Linked DNA regions of Drosophila melanogaster. The protein of the gene in region 1 interacts with the protein of each later gene in a biochemical or structural test. Each region holds a gene or a part of one and is shown in the gene's direction. Other genes may lie near its edges.

Region 1 (12,065 bases):
AGAGATGGGAAACTGATGATTTGTATTTAATATTACTATATGTGTATAATTAATGTGAAATATAATTAAAACGAAAAGAACGAAGAATGAATTAAGCTTGTGCGACGAAAACACTAAATAGACCTGCTCCTAAATTTGTTTCTCAACGGCTTTTAGAGCCGCAATTATACTCGGAACAGGTCTGAGTCTGAGCTACATACTAAATGTAAATAAATTAATTGACGCGTACACTACACATAGATAACAACAGTCGATCGACGAGTTCCCCGGGCGTGAAAAATTTGCATCTGGACGTCGCCGCATCAAATTCTCGACTCCAGCTCCCGGAACTCGGCAGGATCCGTGAAACGTACGGTCAAAATATAGAACAGTGTGGGGAAGGGCACCAAGCACATAAAGGCATAGTGGTAATTCAGGGAGGTGAGGCCGTAGGCCAACAACATCCAGTGCACAGCTGGGAAAGTAAGCTGCTGGTATACTTTATGTATGGTGAATGCGCACTTTGCTTACCTATGATGACCACGTTTTTTAACTCCCACACCGACGAGTGAACCAATGCCTTTAGGGTTTGATCCAGTTTGAGGGAATAGTGGATGGCATTGGCTACCATGGATATGGCCACGCTAAGGTACGGAAAGGAGTAATCTGAAAAAGAAAAGATCTCAAGACCAAAATATTAGCAAGCACTTAAGTACTCACAGATCAACCCACATCCTAACGCATGGATAAAGGTGAGCAGGGGCAGGAAGTAAAGAGCCGAGTAAATCGGCGCCTTGCTTCTGCCCCCCACATCCATAATTTTGCTGACTAGCGGGCGTATGAGAAACATGTTCACCAGGCACAGAAAGTAGAAAACCAGCACGATGGTTTGCCTGGAAATTGAACATTAAAGTGACTATTGTGAACACCTGGAGCCTTGGGTGGCTGGGTCTTACAATGGGTAAACTGCCTCCTGGGTGCAGTAGACTCGTGCCTCATAATTGGGGCTGGGGTTGTAAAACAATGTGTACCAGTCAGTAAGTTTTCGAACATCACAGGCGTAGAGGCGCAGCTCCCACATGGGCTCCATTAGCAAGGTGGCGAGGATGGCAGATATGGCAACCTCAACGAAAGCGCTGGCCGTCAAGATCAGCTGCTTCCGCGAAAACCTATGTGAATTCACTAAGTAAGTTCTTCTTCCAGTTTGATTAGTTCACTCACTTGCGATCCTTGGCGTCCATGTCAATGAAAAAGCAGTGCATCATAAGTGGCAGCATGGTCATGAATCCCAGGTATAGCCAGGAGTACGTGCTTAACTCGTCGCGGCATGGAGAGCATGCGTAACTTTGGTTCACCTGAACAATATAAAAGTAAATTATTTTCCAGGCGCCGTTCCGAAGGATGCTAGAACATTAACCCGAGATCCTCTGGGACAGACCCCGCAGCTGCTCCAGCTGTTGTTTCCTAGCGGTGATCGCCCACAGTAGGCTCCTGGGCAGCGTTCCAACGCGTCGTACATTCTCATGAAATCAAAACAATTACTTCGTATTGTATATTACATTAAACAAAATAAAAACAATACTCCTATCGATATCGGACTTATCGTTATCAGTAGGACCACTGAATAAACGAATAGGTTGTTCGTGCACTTAAATTAATACTAATTTATAAAATGATAATACATCAGAAGCACATGCGAAATGTATTAAAAATAAGGAAATTATTTTCTACAGATTATATAATGGGCCCTAAGACTGCTTTCTAATTTGATCAAATTAATAATACTATATGTTTTTATATATTTATTTACAATTAAACATGACTAGTAGAGTGTACATTCTTACAGTGCATTTCAATGATTTGATTTTATTTGAAATCCCAATTGCCAGAAATTTAAATTTAGGGTCCCTTATATGTACCACATAAACCAGTTCGATAGGCGCGCTTTTGGCATGGCCTGATAACTCTGGTAAAAAGCACCGCGCGAACCGGTTCAATTCATAACTAGTTCGCCCGAACTGCACAACCCTAGCAAAAGAAATAGCTTAAATATAATTTATTTAACGCGAATTGGACAACGAGCGGGTAGAAAAAACCCTGTGGCCGCAACCGCGACGCTCGCAGGATACGCAGCTCTTCGCCGTCGGGCAGGCAGGTAAAAAGCAATGGCAATTGGAGTTGACCGCAGAACAACAGCAACGGCAGACGCCATTTTGTCTATTGGCCGGCTGATTTGTAAGCTCAATATTCGCGAAATAGTTACCGCGACTAGCTTCGAGTGGCGCAGCCAAGTAAGGGCTCCCCGCTGTCCAGAGCAAAGGCGAAAGGAAGAGCAATCGCCCATTTTGAGGCCTGCGAAAAGTTGGGACTCGGTCGTCAGTTCGCTCGATTCCATTTGCGAAAAATAAATGTACGTGCGCGTGAGGAAGTGTGTGTGCGCGTGAAAAAACAGTGAAAAATAATAAAAAGCCGCACTGGCCGCCGTCCTTGGGTGACTTCCGTTAATCTCTTACAACTTTTAAAGCTATAGAAAGAATGTGAGCAATTTACCGCCCTCGACACACCCAATGAACCGCTAATTTTGGCATCTTTCTATAACTTTATGCGTAGTTATTTTCACCACCCTTCGCCTACACCCTTTCCCCGCCCCTTTTTCCACCAGTGGCTCCCACCCACCGACCGACATTCCGCTTAAGGATGATGCCGGGCGGAGAGAGATAGAGAGTGAGTGCAAAATCCGTAAACTTGGACGTGATGTAATTTTCGGCAGGAAAATGTTCTTTGTTTGCCCAAAAAAATAACAATAAATAAATAAGAATGAAGAGCGAGGCGTAAAACAAAAACAATTTTAAATTAAACTCAAACGCACACACAAAAAGAGAGGGTTCTGTGGGTGAGCGTGCGTGCGTGTGAGTGGGTGAGAGCGTAATTTGTGTGCTTTTGGAGCATTATTTGGCGCTTGCTGCCCCGTCTATTAAATAATATTGATTTTTCATATTCCAACCCAGCGCTCTCTTACACACACGCAGGACCACTCACACACCCAAAACTGAGCTTCGTACACATGTGGGCCTTTTCGGTCTCTCTCTTAGCGCTGTATTTATCCGCCTCTTATTGCCTCTTTCGCTTCGTTGCACTTTATAGATTTTTGCAAACTGGCCGCTGACCAGGCATTGGGAAAAAGGACAATAAGAGGGAGCCCAGAGCAAGAAGTCCAACTAACCGACCAACTGTGCCTCAAGAAACAGCAAATCAGCGGGGAACTCCCAAACTGGACAAGCAGAAGCCCGGATACCTCACATTTGCCATAAGACACCAGTCAAAAAACGACGCGCACTGCAGAACGCATTAGGATTAGCCCGGCACTAGAGCTCGTGCATTAACATCCGCTTCCGGTGCTCCGCAGAACGAGTTGGCTGGAGAGGATACCCCGCCACCATGACGTTCGACACTCGTAGGCACACCACCGGACAGCCGGGAAGCACAGCGCCCAGCTCAAGCAGCAGCACCACCAGCACAACAACCACCACAACGAGTCCGGCGCAGAGTGCCGGATCAGGATCGGGCATAGGAACAGGCACAGGAACAGTCGCCAACTCGAGTCTGCCAGGAGGAGGATCAGGTAGCTTGGACGGCAACCAGGATCAACAGCCGGCCACAGACAGTCAGAGCTCTGATGACGTGGCCGCTTCCTTGTCAGCGAACAGCGTGGACAGCACCATCACAATAGTGTAAGTGGTCGTGCTGCCGTATTTGCATGACTCCGCCCAATTAGTCGGGTTTTGTGCGTAGCACCAGTATGACCGCCACCCCTAAAGATCCCCAACATTCGTGTGTTTACTTTTGCGTAGTAATTCTTCCACATGCATTCTTTGTTTGTCTATGGTTGGGCCAGCACAATGTTCGTAATTCATTTAACTATGTTTCAGATGATTTTGGCCAGGCCACTGGTTAGTGACCATAAATGTGGCAATAAATGTTATCTTTCTTTTTCTTCGATAGGTGCACTTGGCTGCTGTCCAGTTTTAGCAATGAACTTACCAAGCTTTACTAATATTACCTTACCCGGCTATTACTATCTCATTTTGAATGCCCGTCCACGGCCTATCTTATCGCTTGTCCATCAAAATAAGCTAACACTGAAAATTACAAAAAAAAAAAAAAAAAAAATGTATGCGTTTTGGCATTTATTTTAATAGAAATAACCATTTAATAAACAGAAATGTTTATGGAAGGGTGTGCTTTGATTGACCCCCTAAGAACTTTTTTTTTTATGTGTATTATTTAATTTGTTATTTTTAATATTGAATAATTGTCCATTTAATTAAATAGGCCTCCAGAGAAGCTTATATCCTCGTTTCCCACGACGAAACTGAGATCACTAACGCAAAAGATATCCAATCCGCGTTGGGTGGTGCCGGTGCTGCCTGAACAGGAATTGGAGGTTCTCTTAAATGCAGCCATCGAACTGACCCAGGCTGGTAAGTGTGTCCAAACGATTTATTTGATACCCTCTAAAGTCAATTTATTTGCAGGTGTGGATCACGACTGCGAGCCATGTGTGGAGTTTTATCGCAATGGACTGAGCACTTCCTTTGCCAAGATCCTAACCGACGAGGCGGTGAATTCGTGGAAGAATAACATCCACCACTGTATCCTTGTGTCTTGCGGCAAGCTTCTACATCTAATCGCCATCCACATGCAGCGAGACAATCCCTATCTGCTTGACTTGCTGGCTATTGTTTTTGATCCGGAGAACAAGTTCAACACATTTAACGCAGGCCGTCAACCGGAGTGCTTCGCAGCGCCGGACTACATCTGGGGTCAGTTGGACAGCAACAAAATGTACGCCCGTCCGCCGCCGGAGCCCAAGAATGCGCGTGGCTGGCTTGTGGATCTTATTAACCGCTTCGGACAGTTGGGAGGCTTTGACAATCTACTGGAACGGTTTAACATCGGACTGGAACTGCTGAAGCGCAACCAAAACAAGTGCACTGGCAAGAATATTAGTGTCGAGGGTAGGGTTGAAAATGGGGCTCAGGATAATCGCCTCACCCTTGCCCTCATACACAGCCTCTTGCGTCCATTCGGTCAATGTTATGAGCTTCTAATGCCTGCCACTATAGCCAAGTACTTTATGCCCACCTGGAACGTTGTGTTAGACCTTCTGGACAGCTTCACAGACGAGGAGTTAAAGCGAGAAGTGAAACCTGAGGGACGCAATGACTACATCAATGGGATTGTAAAGTCAGCCCGCTTACTGGCCAGCCGCTTGACTGGCCAGGAGGAGCTAATCCGAGATCTTGAGATGTTTCGCCTAAAGATGATCCTGCGTCTGCTGCAGGTGTCCAGCTTCAACGGCAAGATGAATGCCCTTAATGAGATCAACAAGGTGCTCTCCTCGGTCGCATATTTCTCCCATCGATCCCAACCTTTGCCCCACTGTATGCCCGAAGACGAAATGGACTGGCTGACGGCGGATCGCATGGCGCAATGGATAAAGTCGTCAGATGTATTGGGTGTCGTGCTCAAGGACTCGCTACACCAACCGCAGTATGTGGAAAAATTGGAAAAGATCATCCGCTTTCTTATTAAAGAGCAGGCACTAACGTTGGATGATTTGGATGCAGTTTGGAGAGCGCAGGCCGGCAAACACGAGGCAATCGTGAAGAACGTTCACGATCTACTGGCCAAACTTGCATGGGACTTTACTCCCGAGCAACTGGATCACCTCTTCGAGGCGTTCCAGGTGAGTTTTCTGCTTTAAAAGTGTATTAAGTAAGTTTAAGTTTTAAATTATGATTATTACATTTTCCGCGATGGTTTGTATATAAAATCTCATGAACAATGAAAACAATATTAATTTTTATTTCAGGCCAGCATGACCACTGCCAATAAGCGGCAACGGGAAAGACTTCTTGAGCTAATACGCCGCTTGGCTGAGGATGACAAAAATGGTGTGATGGCCCAAAAGGTGCTTAAGCTGTTTTGGACTCTGGCCCACAGTCAGGAGGTGCCGCCAGAGGTGCTTGATCAGGCGCTGGGCGCACACGTTAAAATCTTGGACTACAGCTGCTCGCAGGAGCGGGATGCCCAAAAGACCATTTGGTTGGATAAGTGCGTTGACGAACTTAAGTCAGGCGATGGATGGGTTCTGCCCGCCTTGCGTCTAATCCGGGATATTTGTTGCCTATATGATACCACGACAAATCATGCCCAGCGCACTCAAACGAGTACGAATCGTCAGCAGGTGATTGAACGACTACAGAATGATTATTCCTTGGTCATTCTGGTCACCAATAGTTTGACTGCATACATGGAAAAGGTACGCCAAATGGTAACGGACTCACCAGGCCTGGATGCAACCAGAATCCTAATTGACGGAAGATTTCCGCATCACGTGCAAATAGCGGAGCGACTGGAGTTCCTTAAGTTCCTGCTGAAAGATGGACAGCTATGGCTGTGCGCAGATCAGGCAAAGCAGATTTGGCATTGCTTGGCGGTCAATGCAGTTTTTCCGGCAGATCGTGAGGAGTGTTTTAGATGGTTTGGCAAGTTGATGGGTGAGGAGCCTGACTTGGATCCTGGCATAAACAAAGACTTCTTCGAGAACAACATCCTGCAACTTGATCCGCATCTACTAACCGAAAGCGGAATCAAGTGCTTTGAGCGCTTCTTTAAGGCTGTCAATTCCAAAGAGGACAAGCTGAAGGCGATACATAGAGGTTACATGCTGGACAACGAGGATCTAATAGGAAAGGACTACTTGTGGCGGGTCATTACAACTGGAGGCGAGGAAATCGCCAGCAAGGCCATTGATCTACTTAAGGAAGTGTCGACGGCATTGGGCCCACGTCTGCAGGAGAATATCGCAGAGTTTCATGAAATGTTCATTGGTGAGTGCTGCTCCCGCCTGCGCACACACTATGGAAATATCGTTATATTGGGCAAGACGCAGCTGCAAGAGGAATTAGATGCCCCCGATCAGTCGGATAATACCAACGACGAGTCTAAAGATTCAAAAATGCGTTTCATCGAGGCGGAGAAGATGTGCCGAATTTTAAAGGTGCTGCAAGAATACGTAAAGGAGTGTGATCGTTCTTTCAGCGGCGATCGTGTTCACCTGCCACTTAGCCGGGTTACACGGGGCAAAAACACCATCTTATATATCCGCTTCCAGAACCCTGGCAGATCTATCGACGACATGGAGATCGTTACACACAGCAACGAGACGATGGCCGCTTTTAAGAGAAATCTACTTAAGCGAATCAAGGGAACTTCGACGGCCAACATAAAGGTTGATCTCTTCTATGCTAATGACGAGATGATCGGGGTTTCCGATGAAATAAACCCACTTTATCAGTACACTATCCGGGATAAGATGAATCTTACAGCAAAACTCACGCCCGTGGGTACGGGTCTAGCCAGCAGTCCCGACTCCTCGAGCGACTCGAGCACAGGATCTCCTCCGCGTCCCTGCCCTGACATGCAGCGTGTGGAGTCAGAAAGCACGCTACCCGGTGTGATCATCTCGCAAAACTACCAGTACACAGAGTTCTTTCTAAAACTGTACCAACTGGGCAGTGATCTCGAGCACGGTCGTCTTCGAGACAGTGCAAAAGTTTTACTACACCTGCTTCCCTGCGACCGCCAGACGATCCGTCAGCTAAAGATTATGTGCAAGGTGCCGAAGGCTGCCGTAACGGTGGCTGTGACGGGTGACAAGATCGCTAAGGATGAGGAGGAGAAACTGTACCCCACTGAGCAGGCGGGGATTGAAGATGAAGAGGTAAGACTATAGTTAGTCGAGTTAGTTCATTCAGGAAAGCTATAATGGTTATTTAATTTAAATTGTTTTCTGTATCAATCTCTTAATATCTCTTCTTTTTAGGAACACTGCACGCCAGAGCAAATGTTTTTGCACCCCACACCTGCTCAAGTGCTATACAACCTTAGTGTGTTGCACGGACTGCTGATTCCCGCGCTAGATCCACTAGGAGAAAGTGCCCTACTAGTGCAGTCTGCATGGATGCATTCTGGCTGCGCTCATTTCGTGCTGGAACTGTTGACCAAAAACAATTTTCTGCCTAGCGCCGATATGCACACAAAGCGTGCGTCCTTCCAGTGTGTGTTGAGGTTGGCAAAGCTGTTCCTGTACATAGTTGGCAGTGTATTGTCTCGTGTAGGCGATGAACCCATGATCTGCGACCTTGACAACGGATCCCGTTCCCAGGTTGACATCCTGAAGCAGAACTTCTCCACGATGCCCAGTAGCTCACAGGGAACATTGAGGGCGATCTCCGCGAAACTTGCTGTGATCCTTGCCCGCGAGATGCTTTCAGCCAGCCCAGAAGGTGATCGGTGCCGAACGCTATTTAGCTCCACACTGCAGTGGTCATGTCCCGACATTTCAACCATTAAGGCGGTAGTGCAACTGGCCTGGGCCTCGTCTTGCGGAAATCTTCAGGCTCTAGGCAATAGTAGCGGCGACTTTGAAGACGAGGTGATCGTGCCGGACGGGCAAGACTTTAGCATGTGCAAGGAGGCGCTAGAGGTTCTCACCATTTCGTTTATTCTGAATCCGAGTGCCAACGAGGCGTTGACTAGCGATCCGAACTGGCCAAAGTTCATCACCTCCATTGTTCTGAAGAACCCGCTTCGCCACGTGCGTCAGGTGGCCTCTGAGCAGTTGTTTTTGGCTTCTACCTATTGCGCTGGGGATCGGCGACCGTTCGTATACATGGTTAACTTGCTGGTTGGCGCGTTGAAGACGCTGGTTCCCCAGTACGAGTCAACTTGCGCTGAGTTCTTCTCGGTGCTGTGTCGGACCCTTTCTTATGGATGCATCTACAACTGGCCGCTGCAGATTAGCGAGGGATTGTTAGGCGATGAGATTAAGTGGCTGCAACGCATTCGCGAAAACGTCCACGCCACCGGCGACACACAAGTGCATGAGGAGCTCCTTGAAGGCCACCTCTGCCTTGCCAAAGAGCTAATGTTTTTCCTTGGCGCCGATTCAAAGGCGCAGCTGAACGAGCTCATCCACGAACTGATCGACGACTTCCTGTTCACGGCCTCTCGCGAATTTCTGCATTTACGGCGTCATGGCAGTCTACGGCAGGACACCGTCCCGCCACCAGTTTGTCGCAGTCCGCACACAATCGCCGCTGCTTGCGATCTCCTCATTGCCTTGTGCCAGCTCTGTGTTCCTAATATGAAGCTACTCACCAATACACTTATAGACTTCGTCTGCACGGGTGAGTGTTGGAATCGTAAGATCATTTCATGATTAAATGTTTCCTCAATTTTTTGTAGATACTGATCCGTTGCGCGAATGGGATTACCTGCCGCCGGTGGGCGCCAGGCCAACTAAAGGTTTCTGCGGACTAAAGAACGCAGGTGCCACTTGCTACATGAATTCGGTGTTGCAGCAGCTTTACATGGTACCAGCGGTCCGGGTGGGTATTCTGCGAGCCCACGGCGCTGCCACCACCGACGGCGAGGATTTCAGTGGCGATTCCGATTTGACGGGAGGCGGTCTTGGATCGGCCCTATTCTCGGGTCCCGCTTCTGCCCTAGTCAGCCTCCCCTCGTCGTCGTCAACTATCGAAGACGGTTTGCACGATGTGCGAAAGAACTATCACGTTGTGATCCTGAAACATGTGCAGGCCATATTCGCCCACCTGGGCCACAGTGCGTTGCAGTATTACGTTCCACGTGGTCTCTGGACACATTTTAAGTACAAAATTGTTTCATTGATTGGCATCACAATGATATTAATATATTATAATTTTTGTTTGCTAGGCTACTGGGAGAGCCCGTGAATCTTCGCGAGCAGCAGGATGCCGTGGAGTTCTTCATGTCCTTGCTTGAAAGTCTCGATGAAGGACTTAAGGCGCTAGGCCAGCCACAGCTTATGAATGCCACTCTGGGCGGTTCGTTCAGCGACCAGAAAATCTGCCAAGAGTGTCCCCATCGCTACTCCAAAGAGGAACCATTTAGTGTATTTAGTGTCGATATTAGGAATCATAGCTCATTAACCGAATCTCTGGAGCAGTATGTCAAGGGAGAGCTGCTCGAGGGAGCCGATGCATACCATTGTGATAAATGTGATAAAAAAGTAATGTTCTCATCTCTGATATTCATATACAATTAATTTTTATTAACATCATTTTTGTGTCCAACAGGTAGTTACCGTTAAGCGAGTGTGCGTTAAGAAGCTGCCACCCGTGTTAGCCATTCAACTAAAGCGTTTCGAATACGACTACGAACGCGTCTGTGCGATTAAATTTAATGATTATTTTGAATTTCCACGTATCTTGGATATGGAACCATACACAGGTGAGTTTAACCGTAATTCCATACGTATATATCTTCTTATTGGATCTTCTTCTCCATGATCAGTGTCTGGCCTAGCTAAGCTAGAGGGCGAGGTGGTGGAAGTGGGTGATAATTGTCAAACAAACGTTGAGACGACGAAGTACGAACTGACCGGCATTGTGGTGCACAGCGGACAGGCTTCCGGCGGTCACTACTTCAGTTACATACTCTCCAAGTGCGTACCATAACAATGTTACAGTTTTTTTTAAGACTAATTCAATACAACACCTGCTCCAGAAACCCAGCAAACGGCAAGTGTCAGTGGTATAAGTTTGACGACGGCGAAGTCACCGAGTGCAAGATGCACGAGGACGAGGAAATGAAGGCGGAGTGCTTTGGCGGCGAGTACATGGGCGAAACCTACGACAACAATCTTAAGCGCATGCAGTACCGTCGACAGAAGCGCTGGTGGAATGCCTACATGTTGTTCTACACCCGCTGTGATCAAACTCCCGTGCAGTATGAACCCAGCGTGGAGCAGTTGTCACTCGCAGAAAGTCGAAACATGGTTTTACCATTGCCAAAGCCCATTGAGCGCAGCGTGCGGTGAGTGGAAATAGTGCTTGACCACTATACAGATACTTTTTAATTATTTTTTTTCGATTGCAGACACCAGAACATTCGGTTTCTCCACTCCCGCAGCATTTTTTCCGTGGAGTTCTTTAACTTTATCAAAAAGTTGGTCAGCTGCAATCTACTTTCTGCTCGGAGCAATAAGATCGTCAGTTTGTATTCAAGTGGTTTTATTTCCCGTTTAAAAAAACTATTATTTTTTTAACAGACTCCTGCTGCAGAAGAGCTTTCACTGCTGGGCGTCCAATTAGCATCGCAGTTTCTTTTCCACACCGGCTTCCGCACGAAAAAGTCTCTGCGAGGCCCCGTTATGGAATGGTGAGTAGCTTGGGAGGTATTGACTCGGGTATAATTAGGATACATCTTCTGCTTTACAGGTATGACGCGCTCTCACACCACATACGTTCCTCGGCACTAGTTCGCAAGTGGTTCGCTAATCATGCGCTCCTCTCGCCGCCATCGCGTTTAGGCGAGTACATTCTGATGGCTCCGTCTCCGGATGTCCGTACTGTCTTTGTCAAGTTGGTGGTTTTTTTCTGCCATTTTGCCATCAACGATGAACCTCTGACTGGCTATGACGGCGCTAATCTCTGCGAGCAGGTACTCATCAGCGTGTTGCGCCTCTTGAAATCCGAGGCAGCCGACTATGGCAAACACCTGCCCCACTATTTTAGCCTTTTCAGTATGTACGTGGGACTAGGAACACGGGAAAAACAGCAACTGCTTAGGGTGAGAACTATTTACAATAAGATTGCTTGCCATTCTAAACGATTATGTTCGTTTGCAGCTCAATGTGCCGCTGCAGTTTATTCAGGTGGCGTTGGATGATGGCCCCGGTCCGGCAATAAAATACCAGTATCCAGAGTTCAGCAAGCTACACCAAGTGGTTTCGCACCTAATACGCTGCAGCGATGTAAGCGAAAAATGCCAGAGCTCCAACCAGAACGCCCGTCCACTGTCCAATCCGTTCAAAGATCCCAATGTTGCGCACGAGGAGCTGACGCCCCTGTCCACTGAGTGCATGGACCTGCTCTTTAACCGCACGGGGTAAGGTGCATGGCATTTTACTGATAACTGTGCTCAGTTCAGAGAGCATTTCAAGCCATTTCCTTATGAAAGAAACGTACAGTGAG
Region 2 (12,393 bases), on another chromosome or scaffold:
GTGTGGGTGTATGAATCACCTGCACTTACCTGCAGATTGCATACGATTTTCATAGGGTGTGTCGTTGTTGTCTTGGAGTAGCTACAGCAACAACAACAACAACGACCTTCCCAGACGCAGAACTTTGGCAAAAATGCCAAGCTCGCTCGCTCGCTCGCCACATCCACAGAATTACAATCCACAGTGGCGGCAGCCACAATGGCAAAAGTAGCCAGCATACAGCAGCGATGGTCGAAAGCTTGTTTTAGTATTAAGTTCCACTTCATTCGTGTGGTCACCGTCGTCGCGCTGTTTTCTGTTGTCATTAACCGTCGCTCTCCGCCGATATCGTTGCTATATCGCCTAGCCTGTATCGTTATCGCCCCGCGATGAGTTGACTCCCCTGGTATTCTTGTTGTTATTTTTGTTACTTTCAATTTATAATTTGCCGTTTGCCATTGTGACCAGTTATTATCGCACAAGCACAAGGGCGTTACGTCAAACAATACAAAACGCGAAAAATAAAGAAAAAAACAACAGAAGTAAGGCGAAGAGATTGCAAAAAAGCTGAAGCGCAGTTGTCATCGTTGTGATCCGAATCCAAATCGCAGGCGTTACAACATCCGCGATAAAGAACAACGTCACTGGCTAATCCGATCAGCTAAGCTCACTTAGAATGAAATCAAGGGCATGAGTACGCAGCTTAAAATAAACCGAATTGACGTAGGAAAAGTCACAGTCGCTCTCACACTCTAACTGACTAAGTACACACGCACGTGTGTTTATAAATAAATTCGGTTAAATAGTGTTTAATTTATAAATTTCCAGCTTGGACTCGCTGTGTATGAGTGCGCATATAAATGTGTGTTTGTGTGTGTTTGTGTGTGTGTGTGTTGCAGTTCCAGTGAAATGTATCCAGCTTTTTTTGAGCCAACCACTTCAACTCGCAGATACATTGAGAAATGAGCCAATTGCGGGTGATAAGTTAATTTAATTATAAAGTACGGTATGACAAGAAATACAAAAAAAAAAAAAAAATGAAGAAAAACAGTAGTAGTGCAAGCGAAAAGAACGAAAGCGGAATGAAAAGGAAAAAAACGAACAAATTCCTACCCAAAACACACACGCGCAAAAGCAACAGTCGCTGTGCGCTAGTGTGCGTGTAAGTAACGCTTAAACGAGGTAACTAGCAGAAGAATAGCAACAACTACTGGACAGAGGGAAAGAGTGACACGGGGAAGCGTAGAGAGCGAGAGGGAATCACAGAAATAGCAACAGCAATGTGTGGGGCTTCATCGTTGTCTCTTTAACGCTTATTTTGTTGTTGTTGTTTTTGTTGCTGGTCTTCTACTATCTGTGTATCTGCGTATCTGTATCGGGCGTGCCAAGGCTTACGATCCACAAACCGCACAGCGACGGACTCTCAAATACACATTTAGCCATTCAAAAGCAAACCCAGCTGGAACGGTTGTGGAACTTATCGCGAGTGTCTTGTGTCCACAAAAAAAAAACGGAGACACTCACACGGAGAGAGATGTGTAAAGTGCGATAACTGATAAGAGACATGTGTTGTTATCTAAAAGCACCCACCCTTCACTTTTTAAAACCCCCTTACGCGTCATGTAAGCAACAAGTTTACAAATATCCTAGAAGAAAGCAAAGATAACATATTCTTCATGCACAGAGACACAAATATTTAGCAACACTTATTAGTCCCAATTTTAAACTTTTCAGAAAAGAATTTACAATTGTCATATAACCATAAATTTGTGAATGACAAGACTAGATACGTTCATATAAGATTCAAAGATATATGTGGTACTTTCATATTCAACAAGAAAATTTAGTTGTGCTATTCAAAATTCTCCATACCTTCTTTAACTGAATAAGCGGCTTGCTTAATGGACCTATCAGTTCTTATGATTGTTATTGTTTTACTCTGTGCATTGCGAATCCCAATTATTTGTGCTCAGTAAGATTGGCACGGTGAATGTGTTTGCAATTTAGTGACCGAGAGACTGTGACTTTTACTGCGATTGCTTCTCCAATGTTCACTCATTGTGCTCTAATAGAATTTAACAAGATGGTCTTTTCGAAATAAAAGCGACAAAGCTGCGCCTGAATTGTGATTGTTGTGCCACAAAATACACAAAACGAACAAAATTTATTCATACTTTTATGCACACGTATACGCGCGCATCTCTCAATGTTTACACACGAAATTCGCTGTGATAATTGCCAAAGCGAAGAACGAGGGAATATGTGTCTCAGTTTCGTTGCAACTGGGCCAATAATCCGTATACCGTGAACACCGAGTCGCGTCGAGAACGAAGAAATACCACCGCAACCCAACCACGAAACAACCAAGTGAACCACCCACCGCAAAACCACCAAAGCACCTACCATGGGCCAGACTTCCAGTCACCGGCAGATGCACCACAGTAGCAATAACAACAACAAGGAGGAACCACCACAACCGGCTTCACAGTTTGGAAATCGTCGAACCTCTACCCGCAAATCGACTTCGTCTTCGAAACATTACCCCACATTGGTGCAACCATTGCGTAAGGATGAGCTCTCTCTCCTGCGAGATTCACTTCTGCGCAATGGAAGCATTATGCGCAAGAACCCGGAACGTCGTCCGGTAACGATCAGTGAGCTGAAACCAGTTAATACCGGGCAGGGGACTTCGGGTAGTGTCCTGCCTATTACAGCAGAGGATGCTGCTGGTGGGAGCAGTAGTAGCATCACCCAACTAATGGCCTTCCAACTGCCCGTGGATCGAAGTGCCAAGACTGACGACCTGGCTGCCGAATCCTCGGCTTCAGCAGCAGCAGCTGTGGCGCCCAAGGAGGGGCGCAATGAGTTTTATATTGTGGGAGATGGCTATCATCGGACGGATCACTGCTACTATCGCAGTCCCAATGGCGATTTTCACAAACTGCCATCCGACTCCTTTCACAAGATGTCGGAGGGCTGTTTCGTCCGAATGGCCGATGGGGTCTTCCGTCGCCTGGAGGTACCCACCAAGGCTCAAATATCCCGAAGATCCAGCAGGGCAGAGGAAATAGGCGATGCCACAAGCCAGGGAAATGGAAGTGCCGCCACCAATGTTAAGAGCCAACTGATGAGATTTCTAAAGCGCTCCAAGAGCCACACGCCCGCCACTATTGCCAAGTTGCAGCGGGAAAAGGAGGAGGCCCGAGCGGAACGCAAGCAACGGCTATCGAACGCCCTGCGGCAGAAGAATCTAGCGGCCACAAATGCAGCCTCAGCTGCGGCGGCGAACTCATCCTACGCAAGCGGTGGTGGTGGTGGCACCGTAAGCAGTCGGAACAATAAGATTGTGGTGACAATGATCGAAAACGGCGGCTTGCCCATTGTGGCCACCAGTAAGGCGGAAAGGCCCAAGGCCAAGGAGTCGGCATCATCCAGTGACAAGGCTCGCAACTCGAGGGTATGTAATATTGGATATAAATTTATCGATATTATCGATGGTTGCTTACATTTTATCGAAATCCATCGACGGTAACGGTAACCCGTTAGATACTATTGCATAATTAATATAATAGAAGATATAGGAGGATTTATATTGGGAGCTTGCGATATTGGCAATTATGTGATTTAGAAACTTTCCTAGGCTCTTGAGCAAAACTACACTTGACCTTGCTACTTCATTTCAAAAGAGTGGGGCAATAAGGTTATATTTGTTGTGATTAAAGTTTGTCGGTCTCTCACACTTCCCCATTCATTTATGAACATTGCAAATTTATCGTTGTTGTGCTGCCACCTTCATTCAATCTAATCGTAATCGCTGTTTCGTTTTTGTCTGTATCTGTCACGGTTTTTGGTTTTTTTTCCACAATCGAATGAATAACGATTTCTATTATTTTGATTACGGATTTTGTTTAATTTCAGATTTTTGTTACCCCACATTGAATTCCTATAATCCATATGGAAACTAATATATATTTTCAGTCTAATCGCACAAGTGCTACATAAAAACCCAACGCAAATACGTTTAAAGATTAGGGGATTATAGGGATTACGGGCTCTCTGTTTCTATAACTATACGATTGCATTGTCCGGAGGACAAGTTCATAATAGTTGACCTCATTAGATTTTCCTGTTAGCTAGCATGCGAAAAATGAAATTCTATCTTTAATGTTTTTGTTTGGGACCTGAAAGGCTTGACTGAAATCTCGCTGTCTTGTCTTAATGTAGATTAAGCTGCAAGTTATTCAATTAGCTTAATTAATACGGACACTTTATACAGGCTCAGCTACTTGATACCTCGTATGAATAAATTAAAACCAAACTTGGCGAGTTACAAATTGACAGAATGATCGAATTTCATATGAGACACTTTTTGATATCTTAAAATGAGAGTTTCTCTATTTTCCAGATTATTTATTTTTAAGTATACCTAATGTGTTTCGTTTATGTCGTATCACTCGTGTCTCTATATATTTTATTCACAAATTTTATTGTGTCGGCTGACAAATGACTTACAATTATTTGACGACAAGATGTTCATAATAATGTTCTTTCGGGATTGCATTTTTAGTACCAAACTGTGTGTATTCCTCGGTCTTTGTATTCTGGTGATTGATATAGAGTAAAACAGGGGAACGGGGGAAGTTGATTAGTGAAATCTTCGCGACGACCGTAGAATTCCGACTCAGACTTCAGACATCATGTCCTTTTGGTTTTATTACTTAGAACTCTTACGTAATGCATCACCTAATCAACTGATTAACTTTAAAGGAAGCAGTTGAACTTATTGGGTAATTGATTGATTTTAATAGAAAACCAAAGTCCAACCGAATGTTACTTTAATCGCAGTAAATCAGGGAAGAAGCGCTTTGCGTAACTTGGTGGAACTTATATATTGCGCACATGCGCAGAACACTAAACCCTGCAGCAAACACGGCTAACAGTTTCTTTCCCAGCGTTACGCTCAGTGGTACTCGCACACTCATACACTCTCAAAACTTTCGAGCTCCAAACGGGGCTTCTCTTTGTGGGAGAACAAGTACACAGATGCAGATACGGATAGAGATACTGTATTAATGGTAGTAGTGCTCCACCAGTGGAGAGAGCTGCCCACTGATCGTGTGCTTGTGCTGGTGTGTTGGTGTATTAAGGCCGACGCCGCTGCCGCAGTCGACGTCGCTGCTCGAAGCGATTCCGTGCTTTTGGAATACTCCGCGCTCTCGCTCTCCGGCACTCCAGTTCCAGTTGCTGAGTGGCCAAGTGGCTCTTTGGCTGCTGAGCCCTGTTTAGCTTTGTTTTTCGGTGTCTTCTGTGTTTTGCTGTTTTTTGTTGGTGTAAATCGTATAGTTGTAGTCGTAGCCTGTCGACGACGTTTACGTCAGAGTTGCAGAGGAGGAGCTATAATTTAGTACGAATACCCAAACCCCCACGTAAAATGAGTGCGAAAAATTGCGAAAGCCGCGTGCCTCTGCGATAAGATAACCGTGTGTGGTTAAAGAACTCCTCCGGCCAACGAAACGAACCTTTTAATAATCGGGATTTGCGCGAAATGTGATTTTTTATAGTCCACAGACCAAGTGAAAAAAAAAGAAAGAAAATACTCACACACTATCAAACGACCAATGTATATAGCCTAACTGTGTTTTTCAGCAGTGAAAAAGTCGGCTCAATTGTCTAAAAGTAGTTCATTTGCTTCAATGTGTTGGTGCGACCGTGCATGTGTGTGTCTGTGTGTGTGCATTGGAGCTTTTCGCTTTGCTCACTGAAGCAGCGACGAATAAAAATGGAATATAACCAGCCAGCAACTAAACGACTCGTACGGACGAATTGTTCAGATACTTGTAGATCTCCACATCGTAACTATTTAGACAGTAATTAAAAGCAACAAAGGAAAATAGCGAAAAGGCAAATGAATCATAAAACTGAAAAGAGAGCGTGGGAGAGGAGGGTGGGGGTGGGGACAGGAAAAGCGTGACACACACACGAGAGAGAGCGAGGGCATCTCAGCTGAGCTTGTGCAACAGCAGTAGAAATAGGAGAGAGCAATTTAGAGAGAGACCGAAAACAAACACACGCACAAGAGCTCACCTCCACCACAGGTGTGTAGGTGCCACTTCGCTTTTCTCTCTCGCGCACTCTCTTTTGCTATGTATGTAATTGTGTGTTTAGGTATATTGCCCTCCCTTTCACATCCCCACATCGCCTGCCGTGTGTTTATTTCAGTGTCACCGGGGAGACAGATTAGCTCTTGTCCGCCTGTTGTCGTAAATATCACGCACACACGCTTCCCGTCCGCCCATCTGTACATACATATGTACATACGTAGAAATGGAAGTTGCTAGCTGTGTGTTTAATTCATTTTCGAGGTTTTAATGCGCAACAACTGCGACTTGTTGTGTGTTGGTTAGACGACAAAAAACAAACAAAAGTAACGTTGAGAATTTAGAAAGCCCAATGCAAACGAACGCACACACAAGCACTTACTCCTGTCGGTGTGAGCTGCATTGTACTTCCGAAGCCCCAAGACCAATTTAATAATTTTCCCCAAACTCACAGTGTAAGAACAATAAACACGCCAAGCGCAACTTGAAAAAGAAATAAGAAAAAAGAAAAAGTTGCGATCTCTCCGAGCAACAAGTACTTGTGCACCAACACACTCAAGGGAAGAGTGCCACGACAAAAAAATTTAAGAGAAAAAAAACAGAAAAACCGAAATCAGCAGCAAAACGGAGGAGCTATGGAGGCCACCACTACCACAACACCTGACTTGAATCGCGGCGATGCCACCAGGAAGAGTGTCCGGCTGTATGCCGCCCGCAAGGGGGCGGCACCTGCGCCGCCCAAGCTCAGTGTGGCGCCATCTAGTAACCAGAACAGCAACCACAGCAGCAACAACAACAATAGCAGCAGTAACTTGCCGGAAACGGAAAAGGAAATGGAACTGCGTCAAACACATCTTGCCAACAAGGATCTCGATGGAGCCACCGAAGACGACAGCATAGTGGAGCTTCGACGACGTGATGCCCAAGCCACTCCATTGCCCAGGATAGCCGTATCGGCTCTACCCACCCTACAGCCGCATCCCACGCCCAAAGAACGCCAAAAGCCGCCAATGCCACGCCTTCTGTCCACCGAAGACGATGCCGGTGTGTCCTTTGCCCTCGGCTCCATCGAGAAGCACATCCATAACGTGGAGGAGAGCTTTAAGCAACAGCAGCAAAACCAACAATCCCAATCATCGATGGACGTGATGAAACTGGAGATCAAGCGCAAGCAGAGCAAGCGCTACGGTGAAACGGAAAACCTTCTGCGACCGGGCATTAGTGACATGTCCTCCGAGAATGATTTTCAGTATTTGGGCGGCAGGCGGGCAGGAGAACTGGATGACAGCAATGAGCTGATGTTATCGGAATTCCAGCGCGGCAGCGATGGTCGTAACTCGATCGGAGCCTATTCCAAGAACTCGGCTGCTGCCGCAAACGGAGCAAATGCTGTGAAGGCTAAACTGGCACGTACTGCCTCCGATACGAAGAATAATGATACGGTGCTGGCCATGAGGGCCACTTTTAAGCAGAAGCAGCACTTGCAGGACGAGAAACAGCCAGCGGTATGGCGACCAGCTGGCACTGGACCCACTCCGGCGGCCAGGAGCTCCTCCTCCACCACGTCCACCTCCGGCTCGGCCAGTCGTGGCGGTAGCAGCAGCAGCGTGGTGGATGGAGTGGCTCCATCTAAGCTTACGGCCACTACCATTTCAGCGTCTAAGCGGCGTGAGGAGAATTTGCGACAATTTGAAGCTTTGTTGGCCCAAAAATCCTCACATCGTCATGGAGCATCTGGTGCCTCGGGAACAGGAAGTAATGCAGCCAGTTCGAAAAGACGTTCGGACCGGCCGATTGTGGCTCCTATTCCTCCGTACAATTCCAGTCGAGCAGAGCATGTGACCAGCTCGACCAGACACAGCGTTGATCCAAGATCCCATTCGGGACACGAGTCGAGGTCAGGAACAGCCTCAACTCACCCGCCTGTAGGACATCATCCCACTAGCCGCGTACCCAGCGTGGTGGCAAACCGCAGCAATGTGTACAGCAACAATGCTGCGCAGGTAAACGGGATAAAAACCAAAATCCATTTTTATCTACCATATTTCAATATAATTTTCATCATTTGGTTCAGAGAAAGCAATACCACTGTGGTTTAAAATCGCATTTAATATAACTATTAATCGTTAGCAATGCGGTTTTTAAAGGGTCATAAATCAGGATTGTCACAGAAATGTTGGGTTTTATATATAAATTATAACCGACACCTGATGCACACCAAAATACATAACTTTACTTACCCCTGACCATTGTTTTTACAGGGTTCGCCTAACATGCAAATGCGGAGTAGTGCTCCTATGCGATGGCGTGCTACTGAGGAGCATATTGGCAAATACAAACTCATAAAGACGATCGGCAAGGGCAATTTTGCCAAGGTGAAACTAGCGAAACACCTGCCCACTGGCAAGGAGGTCGCCATCAAGATAATTGACAAGACCCAACTCAATCCTGGGTCACTACAGAAACTCTTTAGAGAGGTTTGTACTTAGCTTAAAAGAATACCTTGACTTATTTACTAATCGTACTCTGCCCACAGGTTAGAATAATGAAGATGCTGGATCACCCCAACATAGTTAAATTGTTCCAAGTAATCGAAACGGAGAAGACGCTCTATCTGATCATGGAGTACGCATCTGGCGGAGAAGTCTTCGACTACCTGGTTCTCCACGGACGCATGAAGGAGAAGGAGGCGCGAGTTAAGTTTCGACAAATCGTCTCAGCCGTGCAATATTGTCATCAAAAAAGAATAATTCACAGGTAAGAGTAATCAATGCTAATTAAAATCAGATGATTTATATAAACAGGCTAGGACAAACCAAAGGCCCATTATTATAGTTGGCACCTTATTAACCGGAATTATTTATTTATAACAGGGACTTAAAAGCTGAAAACCTTTTGCTGGACAGCGAACTGAACATCAAAATCGCTGACTTTGGCTTTTCGAACGAGTTCACACCCGGCTCAAAGCTGGACACGTTCTGCGGTAGCCCGCCATATGCGGCACCGGAGCTGTTTCAGGGCAAAAAGTACGACGGACCGGAGGTCGATGTTTGGTCGCTGGGCGTCATCCTGTATACGTTAGTGAGCGGTTCCCTGCCCTTCGACGGCTCCACCTTGAGGGAGTTGCGTGAACGCGTGCTCAGAGGCAAATATAGGTAAGTGTTGCAAGATAAAATGAAAGTAAATGGAACTAAACCAAACCGCTTATCCCCACAGAATTCCCTTCTATATGTCGACTGACTGCGAAAACTTGCTCCGCAAATTCTTAGTACTGAATCCCGCAAAGCGTGCTAGTCTGGAAACAATCATGGGCGACAAGTGGATGAACATGGGGTTTGAGGAGGACGAACTCAAGCCCTATATTGAGCCCAAAGCCGATTTAGCCGATCCCAAGCGGATAGGTAAGACGGGTACTGTATACAAAATTTATTACTAATATTATTAACGAATTGTGTGTGGAATGGAGTTTTGCCTGCCAATTGCTCGTTGTGTTTTATTGCTGTTATCAAGCGATCTTTGTTTATGTAATGTAATACTACTAGTTCCTTTGTAAACTCTTTCTTTATCAACTTGTTTTCATTTTGTAGTTGAATGTTGCTTACAGAATTCCTTTTACTTGGGTTCTCCCAGTGTTGCGTTATCCTGATGTTTGTATTTTAAATTCAATTACCTTCATGGTGTTTTGTTTGTAAATTCTCACATAGCTGCGGGGTCACAAACCGGTGCCAAGAATTCGCTCTCGATTCGGCGTAGTGCGTACACCTTGATGTTAATGGTCAACTTTCTGATCGACGAGCGGAAGGGTCCACCTAAAAATGTATGCAATCTGTGTAGTGGAAACGTTAACGCTCGATCCCCAGAGTTCCGCATTAACCCCCAACTCTCTGTTCTCTTTCTCACTTTCTGTCCTCAAAATTCTACATACAAACAGACCGTCAAGGAAGATATCAAACCAGCTCAAGAGAACGGATAATCTTAAAATTAAATCAATCTTGAACAGCCAGCCAAGGGAAAATCGAATTTTTGTTGTATGATCTTGTTATCTTTTATTGATTTTTATTTTACTTGTTGCGAGTGTAAATATCTGCTGATATGTGCACAAATATACGAACAAACAAATAAATGAGGTTCTCTGAGATAAATTCGAGATTGCATCCGGTTTGGGTCCTGTCACGCCGATGATAATTGTATTATTTAATTTCGCTAACTGCATGATCTAAATACATACATATATACCTGATTTCTTTTTATCCAACGTTCTTACTGCCAATTGTTCAGTTGAAGGCCAAAAGAACACACAATTCCGGCTACTCGACATCGAACTATATCAGTTCGAGTATCGGTGATTTCATAGCCAAATATATAATGTAACTGTAATAAATTTGCATGCGTTACCTAATCGTATTAAAATCTCCATTGAATGTCTTTAAAAACCTTTCACTCACAATCAAATTGTCTGTCATTTTCGCATCGCGATGTTTAGAAGCTCTAGTCGCGATGGGCTACAATCGATCGGAGATCGAGGCTTCGCTCTCCCAGGTGCGCTACGACGATGTTTTCGCCACATATTTGCTGCTGGGTCGCAAGAGTACAGACGTAAGTTGGTGGCCTTCACATTCCGAACAACAGAAGTGCTAAAAGACTATTTCCTTCCACGCAGCCGGAAAGTGACGGATCGCGGTCTGGCTCCTCGCTCTCACTGCGCAACATCTCGGGTAATGATGCGGGCGCCAATGCTGGTAGTGCGAGTGTTCAGAGTCCCACGCACAGAGGAGTCCACAGGAGCATATCGGCGTCTAGCACGAAGCCAAGTCGCCGAGCCTCGTCTGGTGCGGAAACTTTGCGTAAGTCCCACTTTGGGGCTAACGATTCATCTATATTTAATCAAGAGTAAAAACTTTCTTGGTCGAACTACAGGATTAGGAAACCGACATTTGTACAGAAAGCTTAGTCTAACCTTTCCTTTTAAAATAACTAATCCGATATGCGCTAGTTAATCGTCAATCGTCAGTAGTTTTGCCCAAGAAATTTTTTACTAAGGTTAAACTTTGTGCCAATGTGCGGAAGTACCCATTTTAATGTACGATAAAATGTTTTTTTTTAGGTGTTGGACCGACAAATGCGGCAGCAACAGTTGCGGCGGCCACGGGAGCCGTTGGTGCGGTTAATCCAAGCAATAACTACAATGCTGCAGGATCAGCGGCGGATCGAGCATCAGTGTAAGTAGCTTGACAAATTATGTGCTATAAATTTTACACTTAAAATTGCCCTCGGCAGTGGCAGCAACTTTAAGCGACAGAACACAATCGACTCGGCTACGATTAAGGAGAACACAGCGCGACTGGCCGCTCAAAATCAGAGACCCGCTTCGGCCACACAAAAGATGCTCACCACGGCAGACACCAGTAAGTGCTAATATAATGATTGATGAAATGAGCAAAGAGACTAATATTAATACTGAATTCACAGCACTGAACAGTCCCGCCAAGCCGCGAACGGCAACGAAGTACGATCCGACGAATGGCAATCGCACGGTCAGCGGCACAAGTGGCATCATTCCACGTCGCTCCACCACGCTTTATGAAAAGACTTCGTCGACGGAGAAAACCAACGTTATTCCTGCAGAGACAAAGTACGTGAGAGTTAAGCTAGTTCTGATTATAAGTTCTAGTTTGAGTCTTAAACTGCTGTACGAGTTACCCAGTTATTGTTTGCATCATAACATTCCCCACTTGGCAGGCTTATTTAGTTGTTCAGTCAGTCGGTAGCGATGGAGCCTGCCACAATTATATATATATATATATTATTATATATATATAATAATATAATATATATACATATTATTTGCCTTTGGTTCGCACGCAAAACGATCTAATCTAATCAGATCGAATCCGGAGGTTAGATGGCATTTAGATACCACAGCAGCTTATAATCCCATCAATACAAAAACGTAGAGCAGATCGTTGGAAGATCGAACGACATTTAATTGTATATAGTCACGCACAGTTCAGTTCTCTTTAGTTGCCGTGCCTTGGGCACTCTCAAAAATTACTTGTTTATCATTTACCCATCGTTTCATTTGGTTATCTTAAAAAAACCGAAACTCTTTCCAAACCAAACCAAAACAAAGTCATACTTACGATTACGATTTTACCACTTTTCGGCCTAAACCTAAAACATGCAAATTACCAGCAGTGGATCGGCAGCTCCCGCTGGAAAAGGTCATACCAAAAGCGCGTCTGTCTCGAGCCCTCGCCCCTCTACAGACGGCTGCGTCTCGGTCTCAAATGACCCGCTCGGAACGAGGTATACACTT

The links.
Region 2: of the proteins of faf (region 1) and par-1, one has a biochemical effect on the other in vitro, tested with the Drosophila melanogaster proteins (one study listed by BioGRID).

What each region holds. Positions count from the first base shown.
Region 1 is NT_033777.3:31,775,049-31,787,113, forward strand, and holds the start of faf (fat facets), read left to right. Parts: upstream 1-1,971; 5' UTR 1,972-2,134; intron 2,135-2,194; exon of another isoform or gene 2,195-2,516; intron 2,517-2,589; exon of another isoform or gene 2,590-2,703; intron 2,704-3,123; 5' UTR 3,124-3,417; coding exon 3,418-3,710; intron 3,711-4,311; coding exon 4,312-4,460; intron 4,461-4,514; coding exon 4,515-5,728; intron 5,729-5,854; coding exon 5,855-7,768; intron 7,769-7,870; coding exon 7,871-9,236; intron 9,237-9,294; coding exon 9,295-9,718; intron 9,719-9,783; coding exon 9,784-10,099; intron 10,100-10,166; coding exon 10,167-10,320; intron 10,321-10,383; coding exon 10,384-10,534; intron 10,535-10,596; coding exon 10,597-10,905; intron 10,906-10,968; coding exon 10,969-11,080; intron 11,081-11,140; coding exon 11,141-11,250; intron 11,251-11,309; coding exon 11,310-11,661; intron 11,662-11,719; coding exon 11,720-11,979; intron 11,980-12,065. Other genes in the region: CG2126 (uncharacterized protein), read right to left, coding at 303-454, 511-645, 700-872, 936-1,148, 1,201-1,334, 1,397-1,504. UniProt on the Drosophila melanogaster protein: Ubiquitin C-terminal hydrolase involved in development and the imd/NF-kappa-B (IMD) signaling cascade. Required for eye and embryo development, and plays a role in compound eye assembly and oogenesis respectively.
Region 2 is NT_033778.4:19,462,259-19,474,651, forward strand, and holds the start of par-1 (par-1), read left to right. Parts: upstream 1-5,207; 5' UTR 5,208-5,383; exon of another isoform or gene 5,384-5,555; intron 5,556-6,531; 5' UTR 6,532-6,712; coding exon 6,713-8,080; intron 8,081-8,338; coding exon 8,339-8,554; intron 8,555-8,613; coding exon 8,614-8,834; intron 8,835-8,950; coding exon 8,951-9,232; intron 9,233-9,293; coding exon 9,294-9,487; intron 9,488-10,560; coding exon 10,561-10,673; intron 10,674-10,737; coding exon 10,738-10,921; intron 10,922-11,181; coding exon 11,182-11,296; intron 11,297-11,354; coding exon 11,355-11,482; intron 11,483-11,546; coding exon 11,547-11,709; intron 11,710-12,269; coding exon of another isoform or gene 12,270-12,383; intron 12,384-12,393.